Linked DNA regions of Mus musculus. The protein of the gene in region 6 purifies or fractionates together with the protein of the main gene of each other region. This does not show direct contact. Links are inferred from orthologs where the notes say so. Each region holds a gene or a part of one and is shown on either strand. Other genes may lie near its edges.

Region 1 (3,362 bases), on a different chromosome or scaffold from region 6:
TAGACACACCAGAAGAGGGCATCAGATCTCATTACGAGTGGTTGTCAGCCACCATGTGGCTGCTGGGATTTGAACTCAGGACCTTCAGAAGAGCAGTCAGTACTCTTCTCAGTTAGTTCTGAGCCATCTCACCAGCCCACTATTGAACATTTTAAGTGTGGCTTATCTGAGTTAGTATGGCCACATTGGTATGTTAGAATGTGGGAAACTTTAGAAGCCCCCAGAAAGGTCTTATGTATATGTGTGTGCTCCAGTATGCCAGGGCATGCATAGGGAGTTCAGAGGAACTTGCTGGAGTCCCAGGAAGTTGTGAGCAGCTCAGTATGGATGCCAGGAACCAAACTCTGGTTCTTTTGTAGGTACATGCTTTTAAAGACGTCACTAAATGTGTGCTACCTATGTATGAAATGAGTGCCTTGAAGGCTAGAGTCAGGCATCAAATCTGGAGTTGCAGGCAATTGTGAGCTGCCCCCATGTGAGTGCTATTCCCTGAACTCATAGCAGTATGCACTGTTAACAGAAGGGAATTGCTACTTACAGCCTTTTGGTGGTATTGTTTTGGCAGGGGAACAATGTTGGTTTAACCAGATAAATGAGTAAATTAAAGATCCTAATTAATTAGGACTATTAAATGCTGCATAGAGAATCATCCAGTTGGTTTAATCATCAGTAATGCTTTTTCTTATCTTCTCACTATTACGGTGCTAGTATATCTTTGCACTTGTATATCTCTTTTCATAGAGGCTTTTTGTTTGTGGTTTTAAGAACCCTGAGCAATGAAAGTGGACCTAAAATAAGTAGGACAGTGAAGAAGGTAGAGCTTTCCTAAAACATGTGAATAAAGATGAGACAACACACAGCCCACCAAATGGGTAAAGGGTTAATTTGCATGCTTTATTTACACACATATATAATTACTGTTCAAGAGAAAAATGGGCAAACAAAGCAGTTTTCTACATTTTTCATGGGCAGTCCTGGTAGCAAGAATTAGAGCATTCTGGCCTACATGTCCTCTGGGGAAAAAGGAAAGAAAGAGTTTATAGAAAACATCAATTTTTACAAATTTTCAGAGCTGCAAGGAGCTACTTACTTAGAACAGGGTAAGATTCGGAAAGAGTGTCAGCCTCCGGGCAGTAGAGCTTGGGAGCTCCCTTAGCCTGGAGATGGGAGCGTTAGGACCTCTGATGTGCTTAAGCAGTAAACTCCTTTTTTGGACTTTTCCAAAGGTGCCCCTATAGTGCTATCAGATAGTGAAGAAGAAGAAATGATTATTTTGGAGCCAGAGAAGAACCCAAAGAAAATAAGGTAACAAATTTCTGGCCTCTTTCAAATATACATTAAAAGCTGGTTCTATAAAATGGGGCACCTTTCAGAGTCCCAGTGACCCAATCCAGGACAGATGGGATACAGTGAGCTGTTATATTACTTCATTCACAGAGCTCAGACCAGTGCAAACCAGAAGGCACCAAGTAAAGGCCAAGGGAAAAGGAAGAAGAAGAAGAGAACTGCTAACTAAGCTAAAGTGGTGGATCTCTGTGTGTGTGTGTGTGTATACATACTCAGTGCTAACAGCTCTGGGTATCTTACAAGCTGAACTTCTTGATACACTGTTTGTCTTTAACATTATGCTTTGAATAAACTTTCTGGAAAACTTTTCTGTTGCACAAGCTTCCCAACTCATGTAAGACCTTATTTGTTAAAGTTGATAAATAAAATGTCTCCATAAACTACTGTAACATCTGAGAGCCGAATGAGTTCTGCTACATTGAAAACAGTTTGTCTACTTTTGGTTATTTATGAACAAGTCAGCAGTTTGGTTTGGTTGCTTAGAATAATCAATCAATGCCAGAATTTGAAGGTCTTTTTCCCTGAAATATTTTAGTTTTATAAAATCTTTTCCTACTCCCCACTGTACAATAAAACAAATCAAGTTAGTTTCTAAACGACATCATTCATATTTTTATCTCAGATTAACTTTGACTTGCAAAGATTTCCAAATCAGTTTATTCTCAATATCTTGACAGTTGGCAGCACCAATGTTAACCAATTAAAATTATCCAAATAGACACATGTACAAAAGATATACAAATTAAAACCATTTTAAAAGCAATGGATACCATAATTTGTCTGTGGCTATACCATCTACATTCAGAAGTGATTGTGAAACTAAAACCCGACATAAAAACTGTACAGCATGGACTCCGAGCGACTCCTGTTTCAAACAAAGCCGGCAGTCTTTCACTCACACACTTAGTGTCTCTGGTGGGTTGAGAAGAGAAACACTGTGATATCTGTTGAGCAGAGAAAAAAAAAACTTTTAGTAAACATTCATTGGGGAGATTACAGAACAATTCATGTACCCCAAGACTGGAGAAATGCTACTTTTACTTGATTATGAATTTAAAAACATTTGATACGTAGAGCACATACATCTGCCCCCTTACCCTTCTCTTACCAGAAGCAAAGGCACAAAAGCTTCCTAATACATGACTTAAGAGCCAACTGAGGTAGTGGCAGGTTACTGTATTCAACAAGAATTGGATTCTTACTTTGAATGCTTGTACTTTTCCCGTATTGACTGTTGGGCATGTTGTGGCGCTTTGAGGTAGGTCTGGTGAAGGTCCACAAGACAAGGCTTAAGACTCTCCAGGGTATATCCAGTCTGTTGTGCCAATGACTCAGGCTAGGGAAGGGACAACCATTGAGTTTTTTGTAACAGCACAGGGCACTGACCACAAGCTCACAGTTGATCTAAATATTGGCACTAATCATTGACAGGATGTTTTGTTATTTCTAAATGTTGCTCCCTCCTCAATTCTTCACTCAGGGTGTCCCCCCTGTTTCAGCTCACTCACTCCATCTTTTATTTTGGCTGTTTACTTCCCCTGCTTGCAGCAGGTGGAAGGCTCAGATTCTTGAAGCAGAGCTTTCAGTGCACCTTTACAGCTAAGCTTTCAGCCCAAATCAAAGCGGCACCCATACTGGAGAAGGCAACTGGTAATACACACCCAGCTCTGTCCTGTGACTGTGTAGAGAGCCAAGTGGAAGGCAGCTCCAGCAATGAGTGAAGGCAGGTACTTAAGGTACGGGTCAGCATCTATCAAACTCAGTTCTCCCAAAAACTGAAATAAAAAACAAAACAAAACCCCAACTTTTATAATCACACATAAGACTCAAGATTTTGAATCCTTGCTTCCTGACCAGTTTCCATTGTCTTGGATCTCACTGGTTCTGTATCAGCCCTGGGAAAATTATTTCAATGTTTTCCTCTATTCTCAGCTTACATTTCTCTCCCCTAATATACTAGGTTGTTCTCTTTAAGCCACTAGTTAGCGCCTTTCCAGCATGGTCACTTTTGTGTA
Region 2 (4,025 bases), about 70 Mb from region 6:
TCTTGGTCATGATGTTTGTGCAGGAATAGAAACCCTGACTAAGACACACTGTAACATACTTGCCGAGCGAGTAGTGTCTCTGGAGTGATACATGAAAAGCAGTGCTCTCTGGAGAAGGATGGTGGTTGGGTCAGGTTCAAAACCGAGGAAGCAGTACTTTGCTTGCCTCTGTTTTTCCCACCTCACAGCTTCACTGTGTAGCCCTGGCCGTCCTGGAACTCAGAGATCCACTTGCCTCTGACTCCACAGTGTCGGAATTAAATGATGATTGAGCCAGCACACCGGTCTTCGTGAAGCTGAGGCTGACCTTGAACCCCTGATCCTCCTGCTCCTACCTTCAAGTTCTGAGATTATGGACTCCATCTATCCCATTTGACTTTTTTTTTTTTTTTTTTTTTTTTGGTTTTTCGAGACAGGGTTTCTCTGTGTAGCCCTGGGTGTCCTGGAACTCACTCTGTAGACCAGGCTGGCCTCAAACTCAGAAAACCACCTGCCTCTGCCCCCCCACCCCCCCACCCCCCCAGTGCTGGGATCAAAGGCGTGTGCCACCACGCCCGGCCCATTTGACTCTTTTGAATGATTTTGTTGTATGTACCTGTACACAGGTTCCTAAGTACACATACATAATAATACAGCTTATTTTTTAAGAAGGTACTATAGATTACCAAATGAAGTCACATTAGGGACTGACTGCGGGACTGACTGCTAATAGACTTGGAATTACTTTGGTTTTTATGTTTATGTGCCTGGTGCATTTGGAGGCCAGAAGAGGGCATCAGATTCCTTGGAGGTGTAAGCTGGAGTTACAAAGAGCTGTAAACTGCCCGATGTATGTGCTGGAATTTAGACTTGGATCCTCTGCAAAATTCCTGTGCTCTTAACTGCTGAGCCCCTCTAACTTCCCTTTTGAGAGAGGGTCATAACTCAGGCTGATGTTGGATTGATTATGTAGCCAAGCATAGCTTTTTCTTTTTTTTTTTAAAGATTTGTTATTTATTATATGTAAGTACACTGTAGCTGTCGTCAGACACCCCAGCAGAAGACATCAGATCTCATTACAGATGGTTGTGAGCCATCATGTGGTAGTTGGGAATTGAACTCAGGACCTCAGGAAGAGCAGTCAGAGCTCTTAACCTCTGAGCCATCTCTCCAGACCCCAAGGATAGCTTTCTGAATGCCTGGTCCTCCTACCTCTGCTTCCATATGCTAGGATTGCAGGAATATATGACCCTACCTGGTAGTGGTACCTAGTTGTTTGGTTTTTTAAAAAAATTGTCTCCCATTTTGTTTGTTTGAGACAGTGTCTATAGTCTTAACTGTTCTGGAACTGGCTACGTAGACCAAGTTGGCTTTGAACTCAAAGATCTTCCTGCTTCTGTCTCCCAAATCTCAGTGAATTAAAGATCTACACCACCACATATGGCTTCCCCTGTGTTTAAAATACTTGGGCCAGGCATGATGGCACACGCCTTTAATCCCAGCACTCAGAAGGCAGAGGCAGGTGGATCTCCGAGTTTGAGGCCAGCCTGGTCTATAGAGTGAGTTCCAGGACAGCCAGAGCTATACAGTAAGACCCTGACTCCAAACAAACAAACAAAGAAACAAGCAAAAAGCCCAAACAAAATAATAATAGCATGAAATAAGTACCTTTTTATAGACTTCCTTGTCTCAGTCTGTTCTTTACCTTTCAGAGGAAAATATATACCATTACTTAATTTGGGAAGGAGTGGGACTGGAGGTATAAACACAAGAGTGGTAACCAGGGTTGCCGATAAGCTGTGGGTGGACTGCTTACCTAACATGCAGAGACCTTGGCTTGGTACCCCATGCAGGACGGAAATAAAGCAGTGTCTCGGCATTAACCTTGCTTATAAGGACTATTGCATCTTTTTGAGGTTAGAGGTTGAAGTTCTGTGATAGGCTTGCCTAGCCTTTGTGAGGCTTTGGGCTCCATCGCGCACACACACACACACACACACACACACAGAGAGAGATAGAGAGAGAGCGCAGAGGACTGTTTGAAGCATGGGATTCCCACACAGTGACTTTAGACACCTGAGAGTCCAGGTGACAGTGTGCTTCTAGTGCTGGCAAGCTTGCTTTGTGTCTGTAGAATTGAACGAGCCTTTAGGGCCTGGGGAGATGAAATGGCGCCATAGTTAAGAGTGTTTGCTGCTCTTGAGGGGACTTGAATTTCTTAGCATGCATGTCAAGTTCCTAGGGGGGTGTGTGTCCAACCTTCTCTTCTGGGCAGCAGCGTGCACCTGTGCACATACGCATATAAATCACAGTAATGACTCTAAGATAGACTAATCCGTTATCACTCTGCCATTCTGGCTTTCCAATTGTGTTCTCTTACTGGCTTTTTTCTTTGGTATTTGAAGTTTGCAGGAGCCTGTTTTGTTGAGTTTCTCAATGAAATAATTCAGAGTGGTAAATTTTCTTTCTAGAGTCTCTAGCTTTTTTGTAATTATTGCTATCCTTTGGCAATATTATCCATAAAATTTGATGTTAACCTAAGATAATAGAGGTGTATGTAAAACAGTACTAAATTAAGAGGTCTTATTGAGTAGGCATAGCGGTCCATTCTGTGACCCATCACTTCCAAGGCAGAAGCAGGAAGATTGCTGTAAGTTCAGGGCTACCTGGACTACAGGTGAGCTGCTGTCTCAAAAAGCCAGAAAAGATGGAAGGATGTAAAAATGGGAAGGAAAGCCTGTGTTCTCCATTTGTTCATTGTATTGATTTATAGGTATCATTAGCTTCTGTAGTAAGAAAACACACATTGTACAAAACCACAATACAGTAAGATAGTGTTTTAGATGTTTTGGCCATATTTGCATGGTGTTCAAATGCTGTGCCTCTCATTAAGCCACTTAAATTTAAGGAATATTTTTTTTTCTTTTTGGTTTTTCGAGACAGGGTTTCTCTGGAACTCACTTTGTAGACCAGGCTGGCCTTGAACTCAGAAATCCGCCTGCCTCTGCCTCCTCAGTGCTGGGATTAAAGGTGTGCACCACCACGCCCGGCTGTATTCATGTTTTTTTGCAAGCTGGCGTGATAGAAGGTTTTTGTGGTAGGCTTAGGTACACCAAGGTGCTCTTTCTAATTTTCAAAATAACCCATGTAGGACTTGTTTCCTTTATGTTCTAGTGAGCTGTTTTCCCCGTCGCAGAAGTACCAGCTCTTGGTGTATCATGCAGACTCTCTGTTTCACGATAAGGAGTACCGCAATGCTGTGAGTAAGTACGCCATGGCTTTACAGCAGAAGAAAGCCTTAAGTAAGACTTCCAAAGTGCGGCCTTCCACTGGGAATTCTGCATCTACTCCACAGAGTCAGGTGAGTAAGAGCAGACTCAGTCACTCAGTCAGTCACTCAGTCAGTCATTTATTGTGTTTTTGGGGGGCAGAGTTTCTCTATGTAGCTTTGGCTGTCTTGGAAGTAGACCAGGCTAGCCTCAAATTCAGAGAGCCACGTGAAAGGGTGGCCACCACCGTCTGACGTGCCTGTGACTGTCTATGTGTATATATTTATTGATTTATTTATTTGGGTTTTTTTTTTATTTATTTACTTGTTAAAGGAAATGTACGTTATTTGTTTTATATATTTAAGTACACTGTCACTATCTTCGGACACACCAGAAGAGGGCATCAAATCCCATTCCAGATGGTTGTGAGCCACCATGTGGTTGCTGGGAATTGAACTCAGAACCTCTGGAAGAGCAGCCAGTGCTCTCAACTGCTGAGCCATCTCCAGCGCGTATACGTATATGTATATGTATGTATGCACATACTAAGAGACAAGATTGAAGTACTTGTTTCAGCACTGAGCTGGTTGGTTATAGAATGAAACAGTTCTATATTCTTTGTTATTATCACATGATATTCCATGGTTCCCGAGTGCTGCTTTTCTTTCATCTTTGTATTAATGAATACTGGGGTTCTCCTGTCCCTCACAGCTGATGCTGCTGGGGTGCTTTGTGTCCTGGTTAGGTGAGCTTGGTCTCTCCAACTCATAGAGATCC
Region 3 (4,025 bases), on a different chromosome or scaffold from region 6:
AACATAGGTTGTTTGGATTTATATCCTAGATTTAGGGGCAGGCAACAAACATCAAGTTGAACCTGTTAGGATTATGACCCACACCCAACCTTGACTCTTTCTTCCTTCCTTTGTTTTTTTTTTTAAAGGATTTCTTTATTTTATATATGCAAGTGCTGTTTTCATGCACACCAGAAGAGGGCATCGGATTCCATTACAGGTGGTTGTGAGCCACCATGTTGCTGGGAATTGAACTCAGGACCTTTGGAAGAGCAGCCAGTGTGCTTAACCACTGAACCATCTCTTCAGCCCCACTAACCTTGATTCTTAAATGCTTTTGCTCTCTGCTGCCCCTGCCCTCCTCCCCCTGCCTTTTAAAATAAAGTCTCACTCTGTGCCCAGGCTGGCATGGCAGTCTCTAGATAGTTCAGGCTATCATCACACTCAGAACAGTTCTCCCATCTCAGCCTTCTGAGCACTGGGGTTTCTTGCTTTCCATCAGCGTGCTCTGTTTCTATTTTCCTCTTCCATTACACTAATGTAAAAAAAAAAAAAAAAAAACAGGGCTGGGGATGTAGCTCAGTTGGCACCATTGGGCTTGGACCCCAACTCGGAATAAAGCAGACAGAGTAATAAATAATCTATGTCTGTAGTCTCAGCACTTGGGAGGCAGGAGGAGGAGAATAAGAAGCTCAAGGAGTCAGAGGTCAAGCCTGGACTACACAAGACTCAAAACGAAATGAATTCAACAACGAAGAAGAAAAGGCTTTGATGCAGGCATATTAACCTATAACAGGGTCACCCCGAGATCTGACATTCCTGTCAACTCACATTTAGGAGTGCTTCATGGAAGGACACACACAACTCATATGCAAATACCATGCCACTTCACAGAAGAGACTGAGCACCTGTTGACTTCAGTATCCATGGAGATGAGGCACAGGTGTGGAAGTCGGAGGTGGTGTAGGAGAGGAGGCTGAAGCAGAGCCAAGCCCCAGCAGATACTGTGAGGGTAATGGTGGTGTTTTCATTTTCTTTTTTTTTTTTTTTTTTTTTTTTTTTTAAAGATTTATTTATTTATTATATGTAAGTACACTGTAGCTGTCTTCAGACACTCCAGAAGAGGGCGCCAGATCTTGTTAGGGATGGTTGTGAGCCACCATGTGGTTGCTGGGAATTGAACTCAGGACCTTCAGAAGAACAGTCGGGTGCTCTTATCTGTTGAGCCATCTCACCAGCCCCGTGTTTTCATTTTCTTAACTAGGCATTTATTACTTATGTATGGGTCCTCATGGGAAGGTCAGAGGACAACTTTTGGGAGTCAGTCCTCTTCTCCCACCATCAAAGCCACAAGTCATACTTAGGCGGTCAGGCATGGTGCCAGGTACCTTTTGCCAGCAGAGCCATCTTTTCTGTATTTTACCAGACAGCCCCTTTTCTGTATTCTTGATATTCAAAAGTATGTCAGATACTTGCTTTGTCGAAGTCAGTTGTCTTTCATTGTAAGCAGCTTTTAAGATTACTGGGGAAACTGGTTAAGAGAGGCCATAACTACACCATGAATTTACACGTGGTAAATCCACCATACGATAGAATCCAATTGACTCCTCAGTGAGGTAATGAGAACGTCTAGATAGAGGCCTGTTAGACCATGAGCTTCTGACGGACTTGAATCACTTTTTTCTTGAAGCAGTGTTAAGCACGGATTCTTCTCTGTTCTATAAAGCTCGTTAAGCAATTTAAATGCCTTCAACTTGCCATTTGTTTTGTGGCTGGCCTCCTTAACTACATCGCTGCTGCAGAGAGCTACAGTTGTAATCCACTTTTAGTGCCAAATACAGACACAAAGATTCTACTTCCAGTCAGACTTGATGATACCAACTTGAATATCCACACAAACGGAGACCAACAAAAAGGCAAAGCAGAAAGTACACATGCCTGACACACCGCCTTCCACACCACACGGCACCTGTGGCTGCTCTACCAATTAGATGCAAGTGACCCCAGAGCCTTATGGCACTAGAGTCTCCCAGGCATGCAGCCGGGTCAAAGAGTGCCTGCTTGCCTACCATGCATGAGGCCACTGGGTATCCAATCCCCAACACTGCTTTGGCATAGTTTAACCTGAAACTGGGTTTTTAAAAGTACCTGATATAAATGTATAATGATCTCCCTAGAAAGCCAGTCCCTGAATAGTTTGTGCCTTTCTCAGAGATATCACCCAATTAATTTAAAATATATGCATGTAAATATGCAAGATTTAAAGCAAAAAAGAGCATCTTATAATTCAATACAAAAATGCTTGACTCCAGTGAATTTTGAGTCTTTTTTCTTTCTTTTTTTTTTTTTTTTCTTTCAAGACAGGGTTTCTCTGTATAGTCCTGGCTGTCCTGGAACTCACTTTGTAGACCAGACTGGCCTCAAACTCAGAAATCCGCCTGCCTCTGCCCCCCAAGTGCTGGGATTAAAGGCGTGCGCCACCACCGCCCGGCAAATTTTGAGTCCTTAATGGGTTCCTTGTCAGTATTTTTTCTTTTTTGTTTTTTTGAGACAGGGTTTCTCTTTATAGCCCTAGCTGTTCTAGAACTCACTCTGTAGACCAGGCTGGCCTCGAACTCAGAAATCTGCCTGCCTCTGCCTCCCAAGTGCTGGGATTAAAGGAATGTGCCACCACGCCTGGCTCTTTGTCAGTATTTTGAAAATATGAGAAGACTCCTTCATGAGAAGGCCTCAGATACTGGTCAAAAACCAGTTTCCTGTCCTAGGCTAATTCAGGATCTGTAGAGTGGCCCAGACATGTGCATTTAATTTTTTTTTTCTTTTCTTTTCTTAAAAGAGAGTCTCATTGTACATCCCTAGTTGGCTGGAACTCACTATGAAGATGAGGCTGGCTTGGAATTCAGAGATACATCTGCCCAGCAAGACATGTTCATTTTAAGTTAAATGTGTCACATGAGTCTTACGCTCCTACAATGAATTACCAGTCTAGTTTACATGAATCCGAGACGTTCCAGTCACTAATGCCATTTCATGGCTGCTGCCCGTGACCTAGTTCTGGCCAGCCAGTCTGTGTGATAAGACCAAGTCTATCTCCAGTGCTATAAAAACCATGCCGTCACACAGCCATGTCCGGCAGTGGTCCATGAGAGTCACCTTCACAGAGGTAAATACATTGACTTTTATTTCCCCTTTAGGCCTCTCTGGTGGGATTAGTCTATCTGTAGATACTTACTAAAAGAGAAAATACATCAAGCAGGTGTTATGAGGCAACCTGCAGGAGACCAAGAGGGTACGTGGTGCCAGTGGCAACCCTGGTCAGGTCACTCAAGGGCTTTGGCTTGGAGCTATCTGAGCCCCCCCCCCCCAGCCCCAGGTCCTTTACACTCTACATGAACTGAAGGTCTGAAGGAAACCCAGCATGAGAGACATCACCTTCTAACATCTCTCCAGCTCCTTTCGGGTAGGTGAACAGAGCTTTCCGAGGTGGGGCAAGGTCGGACACACTGAAACCAGATCCGGTGACAGAGCTTCCACTGACCCCACCAGCTGAAGACGAAGACGAGGAGGCGGCCATTCCCTCCAGTAGAAGTCTCTCTTCACTAGAGGAAAGAAACAGCGATTGGCAAGTTTATAAAGCCTGAGTGACCGCACTTCATTCTGGCCCAGTAGGGTCAGCTTTCCCTACCCTCCAGCCTTAGGTAGTCTTATAATGTCACTTAGGTTTTAGAGTAAATCATGTTTAAAAATCACTTGAAACAGGCTGGAGAGATGGCTCAGTGGGTAAGAGCACCAATTGCTCTTCTGAAGGTCCTGAGTTCAAATCCCAGCAACCACATGGTGGTTCACAACCACCCATAATGAGATCTGACACCCTCTTCTGGTGTATCTGAAGACAGCTACAATGTACTTATGTATAATAATAAATAAATCTTTGGGCTAGTGAGAGCAGGGACTGAGTGAGCAGAGTTGACCGGAGCAAGTGGGGTTGAATGGAGCGAGTGGGGCTGGCTGGAGCAAGCAGAGGTCCTAAATACAATTTCCAATAA
Region 4 (4,740 bases), on a different chromosome or scaffold from region 6:
GCTGAGAAAGTGCCTAAGGGAAAGCTTTAGGCACTACAGCCACAAGCTGGTTCTGCAGGCTGAGGGGCTGAGGCTGTAGATTCAAAATAGGTTGGGGTGGTCTGGAATCACTGAGGCCACCTTGGCTTGTCTACCTAGATCATCCACTGGTCCTGATCCTGTTCGTTGCCTTCCATGTCCACCTGAAGAGGAGGCTGGGTGTGGGTGGGGAGGAGCCTCAGCCAGCCTCAGCCCAGATCCTGCCCCTGGGTACAGCCAGGGTTTCTGTATGCCTTGGCCATCAATTAGATCAGGGGCAGGAGCCTAGGAACAAAGGCACTCCCCTACACCCCGCCTACCTCATTGACCTCTCCATCATCAGGTGACTCATTATAGTCATTCATCTCATCCATGTCTTGCATGTCCTCATCATCTTCGGAATCCTCTTCACTGTCCTCATCATCTTCATCATCCTCTTCTTCCTCATCATCGTAGTGCTGGTAGAGCAGAAAGATTCTGTAGGCCTCAGGGCGCCTGGACCAGGTCAAGAGCTGGCCAACTTGGAGCTTCCACCTTCCCAACCTTGCCTGCCTTGAGTCTGGCAGGCTGCTGCATGACCTGAAGGTCCTTAGTACTAGGCACAATGCATAGCCCCTCAGGTTCCCACGTTTTCTGTCTTCCCAGATTGAAAACCACAATTGTACTGAGCCAAAAGTAAGGCCATTAAAGTAAAGCCTTGTTCTACTGGGCTTCACATAGGCCCCACCCACAGGAACCACTCACCTCTGAGGCCGGCTTGCCAATTGGTACCAGGTTGTTGTCTTTCTCTGCGATGCTTTGGAGCTGTGGGCAAAGGAGTAGGGGGGAAAGTAGGGCCAAGGCACAAGCAGGGCAGGTCAGGGGCATTGGACTGGCTTCCCCTACCCCTGAAGAGACCCCAAATGTTGAAACAAAGCTTCTCCCCCCAGTTCTCAGGAAGATGCAATCTCTCTCCTGTCATCTGTTCCTTATAAAATTGATAGACATATGGAAAGTCTTTGGGCCTCTGTTTTTTTTTTTCATATAATTCTGGTGAAAGTGAAATTATTAAGTTCTGTGATGTATAGAAAAGATCCTAGGCTGTCAGGGGCTTGACATCTATCTAATCTACCCCCGAAATCCTATGGTCCCTCAGCGAGTTAGGGTGCCACAAAATAAGAACTTTATCCCCCAAAACTCAGCTTGACTATTCCCCACAGAGGAACCTTTTTCTAAGCAGGTCTCCAGCGTAAGGCAAGCTCACGGCCCGGTGGTAGACCTCCATGCTGCACTGGGTCCTCACTCACCCAGGCCTGATGCTGCTGCTCCTGCTGCTGCAGCTCTGTCTCCTCCACACAGGGTCGGTCCAGATTAAACCACAGTGTCTCAGTCACACGAGGGAAGAGTGACGGGAACAAGGTGGACATGGCTCCTAAGCTGAGGGAAAGGGTCACGTGAATATGTTTTGTTTTGTTTTGATGCAGTTGAAATTTGATTTAGGGATAGGGTGGATTGGGTGGGTAGCAGAGAAGCTGCCCTGCCCTCTTGAAATCAGACAGACCTGAGTTTGAGTCCTGGCTCCATCACTTACTAGCTCTTTGATTTTGGCCAATACACTTAACCTCTCTGGGCCTCAGTTTCCTCATCTGTAAGAATGGGGATAATTAAAATTATATCATCCTCAGTTATTACGACAAACAAAGAAAATAATGAGTAAAGCTGTATGTTGCTTAAAGAGAGAAGAGACTGGGAGCCAGAGATGGAATGTGGCATTGTGATTATGCACAAGATTAGCAATAGCAGAGATCTAGTAAAATTCATTTTAAATACACACACACACACGCACCACAAAACTTATTTTTTGCTCTTTTGATTCATGTCACATCCAACCAGTGCAAAATGGTGTGGACATGAACCACCTCTCTCACCAACCAGTCAAACTGCAGTACACACAACCAAGGATAAAAGAAATTCTCAGAGGGATGAGTAAATAACAAACAAATGAAGAATGAACTAACATGGAAGAGAACAAAATCAACTCTGTGGGCTGAAGCTGCTGACCAGGAAGGTCACCAAGAAGCTGAACTAAAACGCCCTGGCTCACAAACCCAGTGACATGTAGAGCTTGACTTTGGCCACACACTCGATGGGGGCTTAAATCCTACGCAAGGCAGGGATCCTGGCCCAGCACTGTAGGAAGGGCACAGGAAAAAATAGAGTTGGTGTCTACCTTGGTGTTTCCCCCTATTTTTAGTAAATGAAACAGGGTTACAATATTTAGCCCTGACTGTCGTGGAATTCTCTATATAGACCAGGCTAGTCCCAAACTCACAGAGCTCCGCATGCCTCAGCCCCCGGATGCTGGGATTAAAGGCGTATACCAGCCCCCACACCCGGCCCTACTCTAGCTTTTGTTCCAACTTAATTTGACCCACGCAGAACTAGACGCTGTCATTCCCTAGACCAAAGCCCCCCCAGGTCCGTGTGATGGGGGAAAAAAAAAAAGGCGCGTCCACCACGATCCCGAAAGCACTGACAGATTTTATATACTAAAATTCTACCCACCACCGCCCATTCTTTGCTCATTATGATAATGACTGCGAGATTGACCAACAGGAAGGAGGCAGGGGCGGGTCTCCGTCAGGATTTTGACCTTATAGGGATGCTAATCGCAAAATGCGCGCGGCCTGGCCGAAGCCAATTAACTGCAAGAAATGCTGGGTGACAGGAAGTGAAACCAATGCATGACGGACCATGTGCGATGGGTGGGGCTTAGACTCTAGGAAACGGCCAGTGAGCAGGATGTCTTTAAGAGTAAAAATGGGGAAAATGAACTGCTAGGGAAGCGAGTCAAAGGAACTGGGTTTCTCTGGAAGCCGGAAGAAAGAACAAGCAAGGAAACGGCAGCAGTCTCGTTTCCGCACTTACCGCGCCAAGAGCCGGCAGCCGGCGGCGACCCGGAAGCGTTTCCCCAGGTCTGAGCGGAAGAACCCACCAGAATCCGGGACTCACTAACGCATGCGTCTTGCGTCTCCTTTTGTTTCCCGCTTCAACACCGAGCCGGAAGTGATGTTGATGTACTTTAGTTACGTACTAGTTGGGGGAGGACCCTCGCTTGCCCCGCCTACCTGTCAGCTCCTCCTTGAATCTCCAGCGGCAGGGTTTCTCCAGGCTAGCCCCTCGCCTGCGTTCGACTAGTCCCGCCCTCCTGCCACTCGGCGGTGTTTGCGTGTTAATCTCCTCGAAATAGTATGGTTTCCAGAAATGTTCGCTTGTGTGGATGCCGTGTGTGCTGCTGCGTTCCAAGAAACATCTGTTTCTTCCCTTCTGTTCTCTCAGACTCGGTTTTCTGTTTGAACCCTTCTCCTCCTCCTCCTCCTCCTCCTCCTCCTCCTCCTCCTCCTCCTCCAACTCCTCCAAGATCTATTTATTATATGTAAGTACACTGTAATTGTTTTTCAGACGCACCAGAAGAGGGCATCAAATCTCGTTACGGATGGTTGTGAGCCACCATGTTGCTGGGATTTGAACTCGGGACTTTTGGAAGAGAAGTCAATGCTTTTAAGCGCTGAACCATCTCACCAGCCCCTCTTTTCTTCTTTTTTAATTTTGGTTTCTCGAGACAGGGAACTCAGAAATCCACCTGCCTCTGCCTCTGCCTCTGCCTCTGCCTCTGCCTCTGCCTCTGCCTCTCTGCCTCCCAAATGCTGGGATGAAAGGCATTCGCCAGCACTGCCCGGCATCCATTCTTTTCTTTCTGAGAGGATACCTTGAACATGCTAGACAAGCCTCTGTCATGGAACTACATCATATTCATAATATTTACTTTTCTTTTTTGAGACAAGGTTTCATTGCGTATTCCTAACTGGCCTGAAATTCACTATCTAGACCAGGTTGGCTTCGAAGTCTTCCTGTTGGTATTAAAGCTGTGTAACACCACGCTGGCCTCTTTTTTATCTATTTAAAATTTTATCTTATGTATATGTGTGTTTGAACATCGTGTGTGTGTGTGTGTGTGTGTGTGTGTGTGTGTGTATGCATGTGTATGTATGTGTAGGCCCAAGAGTGATGCTGGGAATTTTCCTCAATTGCTCTTCTATCTTATTCTTATTCAATACCACAAGTCCCTGCTATCGCTGGTCTGACTATCCAGGTTCTCTGAGAATTCTCTGTCTTTACAGAAATTACAGGCTGGTTGCCATAACCATCCAGCAATCATGTGGGTTCTGAGGACCCAAACACCAATCCTGGCTTCTTTTACAACAAGCACTTTAACCCCTAAGGTATCTCCCCAGGCCTGTACATTCTTTGTCTACGCTGTTTCTTCTGTAACTAGCATGATAATCTGCCTGGTTTTCCTCCTGTTCTTGGCTCTGGTGAAGAGTGATGAGATAGAACTGTTCAAGAGGTTCCGTATGTGCTTCCTATCAAATCTGATTGTATGGCCCAAGAGGTCAGCTTCAGCTTCAAACGTTTTCAAACGTTAGCAAGCTCTGCTTATTAAAATTGTAGCACTCAGGGACCTGAGACAAGAGGATGTGAAGTTCAAGATTAGACTGGGCTATGTAGCAAGCTCAATGCCAGCCTGAAATGTATAAGCCCCTGTCTCTCACAAAAACAGGTGCAAATTTTAAAAATAAAAATAACGGACAGTGAGATAGTTCAGTGGGTAGAGGCACTTGCTAACAAACCAAGGACCCAACTTCAATCCCTGGACCCACATGGTAGAAAGAGAAAGCTGCC
Region 5 (3,912 bases), on a different chromosome or scaffold from region 6:
CTCCTTGACTTTAAAATGTGTAAATAGTATAAAATCTCTAAGAGGTATGAAATGTTTTCAGGCATATGGTCAACTTATAAGAATGTGATTTACAAAATTCAGAGATATTTTAGAACCTCAAAATTACTATAAACAAAGCTGTCACTTTTCTGGAAAAATCTAAATGTTGGAAAATTAGAACCAACACATCTATTAAGAGTAGCAATGATGCAAAGGATTAAGCATGGTGCTCAAGATCATAAGAAACACAAGGCTGACAACACAGCCTAATATTTGAACTAATTTCAGAGGGCATTTGCGTCTTCACATTAACTGTACTGTTGTGATGAAAAAGGTGGTACGTAGTTGTTTGGGGATGGTCTTGTGGACTGTGTGCTATGCTGAGATCTGGTTGCAGTCTGGAAGTTGGCATTGTCATGGTATTTGAAGCATCACCTAGCTCAATGTGTAAAGATTGGTTTCCACCATGTCTGATTGGTTAATAAAGCCCTACAAAATGTAAAAGTAATTTTGGAGGCTTTTCTGTACCACCCTTGTTCCCAAATAAATGATACAGACATGGTATTTTTATTACAAGCTTCTTGTGCTAACTGGGCAGTGTTCTCATGTGTTCTGACCCGGCTATGCTGGCCTGGCCTACTATTATAACAAGGACTGCAACTGCCAATATCCAGATTACAACAAGATCTCTGAGCACAGCAATCAGCATCTGAATTTCCAGTGCACAAAACCATCCCCATCACATAATCAAAATGAACACAATCCATCCACTCAATCCACTGAAGTATCTGACTATATTAGCACCAAACTAAATATCAAAGATACTGTAACACAAATTTAAAACACAAGGCTTAATTTTTTTGTATCACTGACTTTTAAAGCTTGATTTTTATAAAACATTAAAATAAGAGTTCTTTATTACAGAAATTAAACAGCATCAACTGCTTTGTGAGCTCAAGATATATACAACAAAATCAAATAATTAGCATGTATTTCAATATGGGGTCTATATAAAGAGAAATGTGTCTTACTGCTGCATTTCGTGGGTTCTTCCTGAACTTACCACAGAATCAGCAAGAGTGCTACACGTTATTAAGGGAGCCAACAGATTCACTGTGGGATGGATTCCTTTAACAATGGTCACTGTAGGTAGAAAAACTTCTTTTAAAAAGCTAAATACTTTGTCTAATGATTTTGCTCAGAAGAATCTTGACCAAGATATAAAGAAGCATCTAAATATAAATACAGCAGAAGGTATAATGTGATGGGGGATGGTATGTGTACCGTCTCTTCATTGATGGGGTTTTGTAGGCCACAATACTATTCCCTTTGTGGCTTGTGGTTGTAAATCAGTGTAGACGGATTTCTTCAGAACTGGTAATAAACTGGGGTCCTGATTCTTCCCTCGTTTCAGGCACCACCAAATCTTTGTCAGTGTAAATCAGCAGACCAAACGAACCTAAGTTGGGAATGAGAGTAAAGTACAGAACTTTTGAATAGTAAAGCTGTCCTCCCTGCCTCTCTCACTGGATCCGGATTGGCAACATTCCTGACTGACCCTCAGAACTAAAAAAGCTTTGATCCCTTCTGCTGTGTTTACATTTAAACGCTTCTTTATATCCTGGTCCAGTTACAATGTTAAGGGAAGTAGTTAGCGTTTTAACAGAAGTTTTTCTATGTACAATGACCATTTTTAAAGGAATTCATTCCACAATGCTAACAAAATCTGTTGATTCCCCTTAACAATGTGCAGCACTCTTGTCGACTCAGACAAGTCCAGGAAGAACCCAAGAAATGGAACAATAACACACATTTATCAATGTCGGATCTTAGCTTTCTTCACCGGAAAATTAAACAAGGAAATGTAGCAACTCTATTTGACTTAATTTCTGGAAAAGCACACTTGGGAATGACAATTCCATCCTTTTCCTCACCGTCTCGTCAGTCATTGACAGGGGTTTTGTAGGCCACCATACTATTCACTTTATGGATTGTGGTTGTAAATGAGCGTAGACGGACTTCTTCACAATTGGTAATAAATTGCGGTCCCGATTCTTCCCACTTTTCAGGTACCACCAAGTCTTTGTCAGTGTAAATCAGCAGATCAAAGGAACCTACGTTGGGAATGGGAGTAAAGGAAAGCTGTTCAATAGTGAAGTCTCCTCCCTGCCTCTCTCTCACTGGGCCTCACTTTGAACCACCTCTTGCTAGAAAGGTAGCTTAGCCTGGTCTAATGAATCTTTTACTTGATAGAAACTGGGTGTAGAACGGAGCATTATACTTCCTAGTAGAAAATAAAAGTAGTAAAACTGTGAGAAAAATTTCAAAAGTATTGTTGTATACTTCTGTTTTTTAGGGTTTTCATGTTTTTCTTCATTTTCTTGAGTGTGTATGTATGAACACACAGGCGGAGTCTCCAAATTAACAGCTGTGCTTTCACTTTATTGACGAAGCAGACCGAGAGCTGGCCAACGTGGATAGTTCTGGGAGCCAGATTGCTCTGATGAGCCTATTCCTGCCTCTCTGGCTGGAGTTATAGGTGAGCCATCACAACCATCTGGAGGATCCTGGTGATGGGAATCCTAACTCAGGTCCTTACAGTTGCTCAGCAAGTATTTAACCACTGAGCCATCCCCCCAGTCCTTGTCTCCACAGTTTTCAGATATGCATGTTTTTATTTGTGCTGTATTCTGCTTCCCATATCCCATTTATGTTACAAGGCAATGATAAATTAAGAGATTTAACAAATGTAGGCTCCTCCTAACGGTAATGAACATTTTCTCCAGCAAATTTAAGTTAAGTTGTACAATACTTACAAGAAACTTCCAACAGTGGCAGAAATGTCACAGTAGCTGTAATCTGTCTAATCACTGAGCGAATTTCATCCTGTATGGCTTTCTGGGACTTTTCTCTACGAACACTATAAAAAAAAAAAAAAAAAAAAAAAAAAAAAATCAAAGAAATAACTCCTTCTAGGTTTCATTAAGTTAATTAAAACACGTTGGTAACTCTCTCTGAACAAAATGCTTCCAACAACACAGATGCAATACATTAGGAGACTAAAGATTAATGGCTAAAGATATTCTTGGGTTACTGTATCTGTCCTTCCCATCATTCTTTAAGGCTGATCTTAGTATCTGGTCCTTCTGTGCATGGTAAGTTTCCCAACCACTCTCAGTAAGCATATTTTCAGTAAGTCTTTAACATAAAGGAAAATGGATTCCAACAAATTAACTTGGTAGAACTTTGGTATTTTGCCCACATGCACATTTATGTGCACCACATGCATACCTGTTGCCGGGGATCCCCTGAAACTGGAGTTAAACAGAGTTGTGGGCTGCCATGTGGCTGCTGGAAACTGAACCTGGGTCCTCTAGAAAAGTAGCCAGTGCTCCCAACCACTGAGCCATTTCTCCAGCCTAAATTTTGACTTTTTTTTTTAAAGGTAACATCTAAATACCGGATTCCTGATTGAATCAGGTAAAATAAATTACATACAAATGTTTTTATAAGCTAACGACTTCCTATAGATTGAAGACTTCAGAAACAAACTGCTCTTCATTACAGTACCTTCCAGAAGCACATGCTTAGCATGATAGGCATTTCTGATGTAGAGTGCTTGCAATCTTTAGTTTACAAAGTTCACGGCAATAGGGGAAGTACAGTAGAGCTTCATCTAAATTAGGAATGAGTCTAGGATCATCTCCTGTACGTTTAAGCCAGTGATTACATGGCCCACATATATTATATTGTGAGAGGTTCAGGTATAACCACAAACACGAAGGCCTAATCTCATGGGGTTTTCCCAAAGGCAGTATGCTGAAAGTATCTTATCTACACAATCCCTGACAGGCTATGAGGAACTCAGAAATCCCTCACAGCTGGGCGAGGCGGAGCACGCCTTTAATTCTA
Region 6 (4,025 bases):
TTTAGATGGTTCAGTACAACCTTAGTTTTTAGGGGCAGGGTGTGAAAAGAATATATTAGTCAGTTTTCTGTTTCAATAACAGTACTGTGGCTTGTAATATATCAAAAAGGAATTTTTTTTTAGCTCTTAGTTTTAGATTCTGACAGTTGAGGGTTATGTAGCATCATTTGTTTTCCATCTGTTGAGGAGGGTTCATCAGGTGTCATCATGGCAAGAGCATGTTTAATAGGGGTCACACTGACACAGGAAGCCAGGCGGTGTGGGTGGATAATCTTGTTTCTAACAACCACTCTTGGAAGAACTAACCAGTGTTCCCAGAGTGTCAACTTCATTTCTTCTCACTGACTCGCCACCTTCCATCCTCAGCTACTACTTAAAGAGCCTACCATGTCAGTGTCATCACCTTAAGGGCAAGCCTTCAGCAGAGAGACCCTGGGGACAAGCCACATCCAAACTGTGGCAGACTCTTTGTTTCCCCTTTGGTACAGCTGGGTGGAGCTGTACTAAAATTATGTCCCTATAACTTTGAATAAATATGCTTATGTTTATTATAATATAAATATACTAAATATATAAATAAATATAAGTATATTTATGAATATAAATATGTAATTTTTAAATTTTATCTAGGAAAAACCTACAACCACGTCAGTGCAGGATGAGTTCATGCACTTGCTGCTGTGGGGGAAAGCCAGGTGAGCGCACGTGGACGATCCCACCCTGACTCTTTCCCTTCTTCTCTTGACAGTAATTACTCAAAGGTAGTTATTGCCTTTATAAAGATAAAATACAAAATTCCGGTAGAAGACCTCGCCCCCAGAAATGTATGTCAGTTTTGGGGATTTTCTATGAACTTTTTATATACATGCGATCATTTGGTATGTATATATAAGTATGAATGTGCGTATGTATATTGGATGTATAAAATTCCAGAACTTTTATGTAGCCAAGACAATCTTTTTCTTCTGGCACCTTGGGTAAATAACTCTCCAGGGTACTAGTCAGTGATCCCTTCTTGATGTTTAGAAGTGTATAATTGGTTTATTTCTGGACTTTACTGTGACATTTCTGTCTCTTTGTGGATAAACACAGTCCAGTCCTCATTTGACCGGTGCTGTTTCTTCATGATTATTTTGTTCCAAAATCCTGTTTGTACTTTGAAATTTAGGTTTTAAATGGCACATTCAGAGTTTGAATGGAAAGATTACTAAAATACTTTCTTTTTTGTTGCAGTGCTGAACTTCAGACTCTCCTGATGAACCAGTTAACAGTGAAGGTGCTGTTAAAGTCTATATGTTTAAGTGGCTGTGAACACATTTTTAATAGTGGTCTTTTTTGGGAATGACATATAGTATCATAGTTACATGCTAAATGTATTTTCTTCTTTTAATTAGGGCTTAAAAAAGCTTGGCCAGTCTATAGAGTCATCATATTCCAGTATACAAAAACTGGTTATAAGTCACTTACAGAGGTATGGAAGTGATGTAGAATTTTTTGATACTGCATTCATACATACACGGCTTTGGTCATATTTCTGCTTCCTCTCTCCACTGTTTGACATTGTCTTTTCAAGCCTTTTCTAGCTATTTGCATTGGCATTTTAGGGAACTTGGCATACCCAAGATTGAAGTCGGTAATGACAATTGTTTTTGTGAAAATACTTTTCTAATTCTTTTAACCAGGCTGAACTTTTTGAGTATTTGGCCTTTTTTTCTTATTTAACTATAAAATAAGCCACATAGCTTCTAATATTGTACGTATTTTTTCATTTAATATCTTGGCAGTTTGTTCTTGTCATCTTGGTTTCACACAAGAGTTAGCTATGTGGCTGGCCCAGTGTTTCAGTACTAGGCCGAGGCTCGCTCCTGGGTTCTCCAGGTCTCCTGCTGTTTCTGTGCACAGTAACTTGAGTGAAGCAGTTTATAAGTGGCTGCTGACTGTTTGGTTTGTATTTTGACAACTCTTATGCTGGGTTTCTAGAAATACCCACAGTCCCCTGAGCTTGCTGAGTACCTTCTGCTTTGGTCTGTTCCATACTGTACCGTGTCTGTTTCTTTCCCTTTCTCCACTGAGTGTAATGTTACTTAAAAAACGTGCAGTACCTTTGCTTTTTTCAAAGCCTTGAGCATGTCTGCTTCTGCTTTACCCATGCTAGATACCTTTTGTTTTCCCAAGCTTGATATTGTATCTTCCACTCAAGGCTTTTTTTTTCTCTCCCCTACCCTATTTTTTTTTTTAAATATCTTTGATTTGTTTGTTCATTTATTAATAATGATGCTGGGAATGGAATGTAGAGTCTTGGGCAAGTTGCATAAACAAACTCTACTATTGAGTTACATCCCCAGTTCCACCCAAGGATTTACATAACCTTCCTTTCTTTTTGGAACACTCTCATCTTCTCTTTACCTGAGTTCTTTAGCTCTTTGCGTCTTCAGAGAAGCCTTCAGCAGTTCCTAGAATAGATCAGGGTCTTCTATTTCACCTGTGCATTTCCCTCAAGTCCCTTAGGGTGGGTAGTTAGGAAGATGTACTGCATGACTGGTTGTAACTAACTCCCTTATTACACTAAATGCTTCAAGGACCTTACCGTTATTTCCCACTATGTCCCCAGTCCCTGGTATCTGACATAAAGTCAGAGCTTAAAAATATATGTGAAGACAGGCTGGTGTCTTATGTCTTTATTCCCAGCACCCAGGACATAGAAGCAGGTGGATTTCTGTGAGCTAGAGGCCAGCCTGGTTTGCACAGTTCTAGGCCAGTCAGGACTAGATAGTAAGAGCCTGTCCTTTAAACAAAAGTGTCTATTAGTGAACAAATGTCCACATGGTAAAGTGCCAGGGTTAGGACTGGAGGTGCAGCTCAGTGGATAGAGAGCTTGACAAGCACTGCACGAAGTCTGACCGTGATAGAGAATCTAATCTGGTAGTCTTGTTTTCATCTCAGTTGTCATGATGCACAAATGATTCTTCGAAATAGCTTGGGTAAATCTTTTCTGTGGAAAGATTATTAAGATTTGTTTGGTTTTCTGAAATCAGCAAGTGATTGTTGACTACCACCTTGGTGATAGTAATGGTACTTATCTCTGCTCTTTTGCTAGTGGCTCTGAGTCTTTACTGTATCATTTGAGTGAACTTAAAGGAATGGCTTCATGGAAACAAAAATACGAACCTCTAGGACTGGATGCTGCAGGCATTGAAGGTATTGATTGAATTTCTCCATAGACTACACTAGATACAGTTCACTTACTCAACAAGTGACCCTTTTTTGTCTGTTTTTCTTTAGATGCTATTACTGCTGTGGGTTCTTTCATCCTCAAAGCAAACGAACTTCTCCAGTAAGTCATGTGCTAACCAGGAGTGTGGCTATGAGAATATTACTTTTTACTTAAATAAGAACCTGAATCTCTTAAGACAAATTTTTATCAGAATAAGTCAGTAGCACAGAGATCATTTAATGAAAAACTTTATTTTCTGGTCTCTCCATCTTCATCCTCATTCTAACTCCTGTGTCTCTTTCTGTTCACTTTCTTTATTCTCCTAAAAGCTAATTTTATTTCTTGTACCTACCAGTTTTGTTTTATTTATTTTTTGTCTTGATTTTCCTGAACACTGTTGGCCTTGTCTTATTGCGTTACGTTGTGGTGTTGTGTTGTGTTATGTTGTGTAAGGGACTCCCTTTGTACCCAGGCTGGCCTGAAACTTTGAGCCTTGCAAATGCTGCAGGCACAGTGTTCTGTGCTCCCCACCTCCCTCCCCTTAGACTCTCTTGTTGTCTGTACTGTCCGTCTCTAGCACACCTTTGCCTGGCTTGTCTTTCTGAAGGGTGCTGCTCCATCCGTCTAGCCATCCTCTGTCCCACAGGTTGTCCCTTTACCCTGCACCTGCTCCTTCTGTGCTTTGTGCTTCACTTCCCTGTCTCGCTGTGTACAAAGGCACTGTCCGTCTTGCTTTCCTGTATTAGGCGCCCTAGCATATTCATTCAGGATAGCATATTCTAAAGTAACTTACTCAGAAAGCAGATGTTGA
Region 7 (4,644 bases), on a different chromosome or scaffold from region 6:
TGGGAGGTAAAGCCCCTAAAACATTCCCCCAAGTTTGTTTTCCCTGATCTCTAAAAATACAGCTGGAAAGAAGCTCTTTGTTCTCTATAGCCAGCAAAAAGCCATTTTGTTTCTATACCTTACAACCAGAGATGCGATAATTGTAATTTTACCAAGGACACCCGGCAGAGAAGAGCTGTAGCCCAACTCCTCCCAATTCCTCAATATCTACAATAAAAACCTCCTCAACCATATCTAGGAGTGGTCACGTCCTTGTTTTCATTCACCGACCAGTTTGTTCCCTATCGGTTTGGGTTTCTAAGTACGGCCTCTTCAGAAGGCAATCCCCATCTCCCTCATCCTAGGCTGGCAGTGGCAGAAGATATCATAGACTCAAGGAGAATGACAATGGCTTGGTTGCTCAGAACACAGTGGAGAGTGGGGTATCCTAGTCCAAGTGACTCCTGGTAGGGTTGATGGGGTTGTAGACAAACTGTGTGATGGGGCAAGAGGTAGAGGGTAGAGAATGGAAGCAGTGAGATTGACAGGCCACTTACGTGTGCTCCTTGTTGGGTTTTCTTCTGTTTGTTCTTCCAGATAGCCTAGTGTGTGATAGAAAGGCCTTTGTAGGATAGGGAGGTTTTGCGGGGAGGAATCAAGAGGTCGGAGCAGAGCATGTGGAATATGTGTTAATTTGACTGTTTTTGATTATCCAGGCAAGCGAATTTCAGCTAAGCAGGCATTCCGCTCACCAAGTTCTAAGAGCAAGCCTTCCTGTTGCAGTGCAGCTTCAAGCTCTGAAGGATGGCGTTCCAAGAAAAGGGATGAGAATGAACTAAAATAAATGTGTATCACAATAGACAATTACAGTGAAGTTATCAAATTCCAACAAACTGAATTTTGGAGCAAAGAAATGGACTGGAACTCTTTATTCTTTAGGCTATGATAGGCCTCACCATTTTTTTTTTTTTTTTTTTTTTTTTCTTAGCGATGACGAACAGTTAACGGACTAAAGCCCATCTTGGGTGGGGGTGTGTGATTTCCGGGTAGAGAATTTTCCATGCAATCCTGAGAAAATGAGTGGTCTCCCTTCCGCTCCCATTCATCAGCCAGGAGGCACACATCCCCTTTTGAGATGAGAAGGAAACTCAACCAGCTGGGAAAAAAAATTACCTAACTTAGCTCAATTGAGAAGGTAGTTCAGGATCTTAGAGATTTGGTTTGTTAAAGAGGTAACGTCGTTAAGTGACCGCCTTCGCTATAGGCACTTGCACAGACACCTTTTTCAACTGCGCAGGCGCTAGGTCCTCTCCGCTGCCGCGCGTCCCCAGCCTGGCTCTGCCCTGGCGCGAGGCAGGTCGGGAAATCCAAGATGGCTCCAGCCATTTGAGTTGTTCGCAAGTCTTTGGTGTCCCGCTGCCGCCCATTCTTCCTCCGGCATCCGGGAGGGAAAAGGGATGAGAAACTGGGGCGGTGAGGAGTCATCGTGACGGTCCTGTCGCTGCTCTCGGGCCTTCGCGGCCCTTGTGCCTCCGGGGAGCAGCCGGGGCTCGCAAGCGCCTGACGCGTCCCGAGTTATTCAGGTGCGGGCCGGGCCGGGTCGGGCCGGGCCGGGTCGCGCATCGCTGCGACTTGGTGTTGGAATTTCGCTGCACCGGGTGCCCCAAGGGCTGAGCGCCCCGGGGCTGGCCTTGAGCTCCTGCTGGGGTGAGAGGAACCCCAGTATCAGACTGGGCTTTCCGGGTTGGCCCGACGCGCCATGAGCCGATGCTCCGGCCGCTACGCCGTGGCGCGGTTCACTCAAAAGCACGGAAAGCCTGTTTTTGTAGAGACCCAGCTCAGGGTCCCGCTGTTTGCATATGTTCCTAGTAACCAGTAATGACAGTTTTATTTCTAGCATGTCAACTCAATGCTTTTATGTGGCCTGTAACGAATAACACGTTTAACAACTTTTGGAGAACTGTAAAAGTATTAAGTATGATGTCTTTGGGTTAAAAGGCATCTAACTGAGAAAATGATGCTATAAAAAGTTATCCTGTAGGTTCGTTTTAAGCTAAAAGGGAATGACATTGCATGTTTGCATGAGGAAACGTCGGGTAAAGTTGCAAGTTCTTTAATGTTGACTGCTTTGTTGAATAGAATTTGGAAAGGCCAGCCACATTTTGATAAGCCCCTACTTTTCATAAGGCATATGTGTTTTTCAAGTTCTGTTCTCAATATTGATTTTATTTCTAGGAGGTGAAAAAGAAACTTGGGCCTGTTTTTTGGCGTAATCATTTCAGGAATGACGTTTAAGTCACAGCAAGGAAGATTTTGTAGCTATAGAGGGCTTCGTATAAACTAGAGGCTTTCAGATTGTTAAAAAAAATGATGCCAACAAGACTTTAGATGAGAGCTTCAAGTCAAATTTAGTTAGCAGTTGTTATTCTTAAGTGCCATTTCAAACACTGAGGGTTATAGTGCTGCTAACAAATGCTGTTGTAGAGGTTTCCTCAGAGACAAAAAGGCACATACTATGCCACAGAATGTTTGAATGTTAGTTATCTTTACATGCCGTGTGTCGAAATGTCTGTGAGGTGGATCCCCATGTTTCTGACCTAGCTCCACTCGGGTCTCTGTAGTAATAACTTAGTTTTGACTAGAAGGCTGACAAGAATGCGTTTGGATTCACACAGAAATAATGTTCATATTTGGAACCCATGTCGAACTTCTCTGAAGAAAGGGCAACGATGATTGCAGCCGGGGATTTGCAGGAATTTGTTCCTTTTGGCCGAGACCACTGCAAGCACCACCCTAACGCTCTGAACCTTCAGCTTCGTCAGCTGCAGCCAGCCTCTGAGTTATGGTCTTCTGATGGTGCAGCTGGCTTGGTGGGATCTCTTCAGGAGGTTACAATCCATGAGAAACAGAAGGTTTTATTAAGATTCTCATCATACTTTTGAAATTTAGAATGAATACCGTGCTAATATAAAGCTGCCTATATGCATGTGAGAAATAAGTGTATGTTGGCACTTGGTTAAAAGCTAATGTTTGGTCATTTCAGTCAGTGCTGAAATATGGTGCTGCCTACATAGGCATGCTGTGTAACTTGTAATGAGAGTTGAGTACTTTAATCATGGCTCATTTTAAACTTTATCCTCACTTCAGATGTGGGTAATCAGGTTTTATACTCTTTGGTGACTAAATGCCAGAGGTTAGAAGTGGTACCTGCAACACATGTTTCTAGAAGAGGGTTGATGTCACATAAGGGTGTTAGCATAGTAGTACTTTCTATTTTGAGGTGGACCTTAGTCAGTAGCCCAGACTGACCGTGGAGGTTTAAGCTGCCCCTCTCTTCTGCTTTACCTAGTCTTTGTATTTGCCTTTGAAATTAAATCTCTTGGAATGTACATAGATAGATAGAAATCAGAAACTTTTTAGCTTCTATTCATCTTATGTGTGGGACAAGGGGAAGAAGATAAATAATATATTTGCAGCTGTGAAGCAAGGAAGTCCCCCCATTGAGTCCTATGTGCACCTGTCTATTTTATGCCTTCTACATACATTTAATACCTACTTTTAGTTTCCCTTCAAGCATGGGTTTTATCTTATACTCTATATGTAAGAGATACTTTTTGTGTGCCTGCGTTATTGGCAGAGCAATACTAGGAACATAGAAGTATAAAATAAAGTACTTCTTATAGAGAATTTTTGAGTCAGTTTTTAAAAAACCTGCCTGCTTGTATGTCTGTGCACCATGTGTGTGTAGTGGCCATGTGGGCCAGAAGAGGGCTCAGATCTCTTGGAACTGAAGTTATAGACAGTTGTGTAGGTGCTGAGAATCAAACCCCAGTCTTTAGAAGAGCAGCCAGTGCTCTTAACCACAGAGCCATCTCTCCTACCTCTCTTAACTTATCTCAAGAGTCCCGTGATGTAATGTGCCCACTTTGCTAATTCACTCATTGTGCTCACCTATGTATTGCAATCCTTGTAGGAGTTAGTCTTGGGTTGAGTCTTAATTTACAGGCAAATCTTGCTTCAAACTACTGAAAAAGAAGAAGTGCTGAGCATGTCCTGTGTGTTAATTTTTAAGGAAAGCTGGCAGTTAAGAAAAGGTGTGAGTGAGATTGGAGATGCAGCTGACTACGATGAAGAGCTCTATGTGGCTGGGAACATGGTTATCTGGAGCAAAGGGAGTAAAAGCCAGGCACTGGCAGTGTACAAAGCGTTCACAGTGGACAGCACTGTCCAGCAGGTGAGTTTACTGAGTTTGCACAGCAAACAACTGTTAATATAGCTGTTTGGAAAAGAAGTTTGAGTTTTAAAATGATAACAAATGACAACAACAGTGTAACAATTGTAGCAGCTGGTTGTACATTATGTCTGGCAGGAAAGTAAGATTTTCATTTTATCCATCATGACAGTGTCTCTGTAGCCCAGGCTGGACTGGTATTTGAGATCCCCCTGCCCCAGCCTCTGAATATGACAGGCACCTATCACCGTGTTTGGCTTATCACATTCTATATTTTTTGGTTATGAGCCTAGCCTTTAATTCCTGAGTCATCTTTCCAGAATCTTATCACATTCTTCACATTATTCTTTGCTTAGTTGTCTTAGTCAGGGTTTCTATTCCTGTGTAAACATCATGACCAAGAAGCAGGTTGGGGAGGAAAGGGTTTATTCAGC

Evidence for each region.
Region 1: the proteins of Anapc4 (region 6) and Ccna2 purify together in Homo sapiens (affinity purification with western blotting; 3 studies listed by BioGRID). This does not show direct contact. The link is inferred for Mus musculus from reciprocal best matches to the Homo sapiens genes ANAPC4 and CCNA2.
Region 2: the proteins of Anapc4 (region 6) and Anapc7 purify together in Homo sapiens (affinity purification with western blotting; 14 studies listed by BioGRID and IntAct, with this or other methods). This does not show direct contact. The link is inferred for Mus musculus from reciprocal best matches to the Homo sapiens genes ANAPC4 and ANAPC7.
Region 3: the proteins of Anapc4 (region 6) and Anapc16 purify together in Homo sapiens (co-immunoprecipitation; 10 studies listed by BioGRID and IntAct, with this or other methods). This does not show direct contact. The link is inferred for Mus musculus from reciprocal best matches to the Homo sapiens genes ANAPC4 and ANAPC16.
Region 4: the proteins of Anapc4 (region 6) and Anapc15 purify together in Homo sapiens (affinity purification with mass spectrometry; 10 studies listed by BioGRID and IntAct, with this or other methods). This does not show direct contact. The link is inferred for Mus musculus from reciprocal best matches to the Homo sapiens genes ANAPC4 and ANAPC15.
Region 5: the proteins of Anapc4 (region 6) and Mad2l1 purify together in Homo sapiens (affinity purification with western blotting; 14 studies listed by BioGRID and IntAct, with this or other methods). This does not show direct contact. The link is inferred for Mus musculus from reciprocal best matches to the Homo sapiens genes ANAPC4 and MAD2L1.
Region 7: the proteins of Anapc4 (region 6) and Anapc1 purify together in Homo sapiens (co-purification; 13 studies listed by BioGRID and IntAct, with this or other methods). This does not show direct contact. The link is inferred for Mus musculus from reciprocal best matches to the Homo sapiens genes ANAPC4 and ANAPC1.

The regions. Positions count from the first base shown.
Region 1 is NC_000069.6:36,563,992-36,567,353, forward strand, and holds the end of Ccna2 (cyclin-A2), read right to left. Parts: intron 3,123-3,362; coding exon 3,009-3,122; intron 2,684-3,008; coding exon 2,550-2,683; intron 2,292-2,549; coding exon 2,243-2,291; 3' UTR 1,517-2,242; coding exon of another isoform or gene 1,438-1,516; 3' UTR 1,306-1,437; coding exon of another isoform or gene 1,227-1,305; 3' UTR 874-1,226; downstream 1-873. Other genes in the region: Exosc9 (exosome complex component RRP45), read left to right, coding at 1,227-1,305, 1,438-1,516. UniProt on the Homo sapiens protein: Cyclin which controls both the G1/S and the G2/M transition phases of the cell cycle. Functions through the formation of specific serine/threonine protein kinase holoenzyme complexes with the cyclin-dependent protein kinases CDK1 or CDK2.
Region 2 is NC_000071.6:122,424,978-122,429,002, forward strand, and holds part of Anapc7 (anaphase-promoting complex subunit 7), read left to right. Parts: intron 1-3,153; coding exon 3,154-3,340; intron 3,341-4,025. UniProt on the Homo sapiens protein: Component of the anaphase promoting complex/cyclosome (APC/C), a cell cycle-regulated E3 ubiquitin ligase that controls progression through mitosis and the G1 phase of the cell cycle.
Region 3 is NC_000076.6:59,993,037-59,997,061, forward strand, and holds part of Anapc16 (anaphase-promoting complex subunit 16), read right to left. Parts: intron 3,579-4,025; coding exon of another isoform or gene 3,554-3,578; coding exon 3,412-3,553; intron 1-3,411. UniProt on the Homo sapiens protein: Component of the anaphase promoting complex/cyclosome (APC/C), a cell cycle-regulated E3 ubiquitin ligase that controls progression through mitosis and the G1 phase of the cell cycle.
Region 4 is NC_000073.6:101,894,636-101,899,375, reverse strand, and holds the start of Anapc15 (anaphase-promoting complex subunit 15), read right to left. Parts: upstream 3,046-4,740; 5' UTR 2,926-3,045; intron 2,915-2,925; exon of another isoform or gene 2,016-2,914; intron 1,644-2,015; coding exon of another isoform or gene 1,589-1,643; 5' UTR 1,582-1,588; coding exon 1,559-1,581; intron 1,435-1,558; coding exon 1,305-1,434; intron 823-1,304; coding exon 763-822; intron 477-762; coding exon 339-476; intron 183-338; coding exon 135-182; 3' UTR 1-134. UniProt on the Homo sapiens protein: Component of the anaphase promoting complex/cyclosome (APC/C), a cell cycle-regulated E3 ubiquitin ligase that controls progression through mitosis and the G1 phase of the cell cycle.
Region 5 is NC_000072.6:66,537,973-66,541,884, reverse strand, and holds the end of Mad2l1 (mitotic spindle assembly checkpoint protein MAD2A), read right to left. Parts: intron 2,921-3,912; coding exon 2,817-2,920; intron 2,115-2,816; coding exon 1,942-2,114; 3' UTR 1,935-1,941; exon of another isoform or gene 1,460-1,934; 3' UTR 778-1,459; downstream 1-777. UniProt on the Homo sapiens protein: Component of the spindle-assembly checkpoint that prevents the onset of anaphase until all chromosomes are properly aligned at the metaphase plate.
Region 6 is NC_000071.6:52,847,361-52,851,385, forward strand, and holds part of Anapc4 (anaphase-promoting complex subunit 4), read left to right. Parts: intron 1-630; coding exon 631-695; intron 696-1,233; coding exon 1,234-1,276; intron 1,277-1,394; coding exon 1,395-1,471; intron 1,472-3,097; coding exon 3,098-3,198; intron 3,199-3,282; coding exon 3,283-3,334; intron 3,335-4,025. UniProt on the Homo sapiens protein: Component of the anaphase promoting complex/cyclosome (APC/C), a cell cycle-regulated E3 ubiquitin ligase that controls progression through mitosis and the G1 phase of the cell cycle.
Region 7 is NC_000068.7:128,684,071-128,688,714, reverse strand, and holds the start of Anapc1 (anaphase-promoting complex subunit 1), read left to right. Parts: upstream 1-1,319; 5' UTR 1,320-1,562; intron 1,563-2,654; 5' UTR 2,655-2,678; coding exon 2,679-2,891; intron 2,892-4,051; coding exon 4,052-4,213; intron 4,214-4,644. UniProt on the Homo sapiens protein: Component of the anaphase promoting complex/cyclosome (APC/C), a cell cycle-regulated E3 ubiquitin ligase that controls progression through mitosis and the G1 phase of the cell cycle.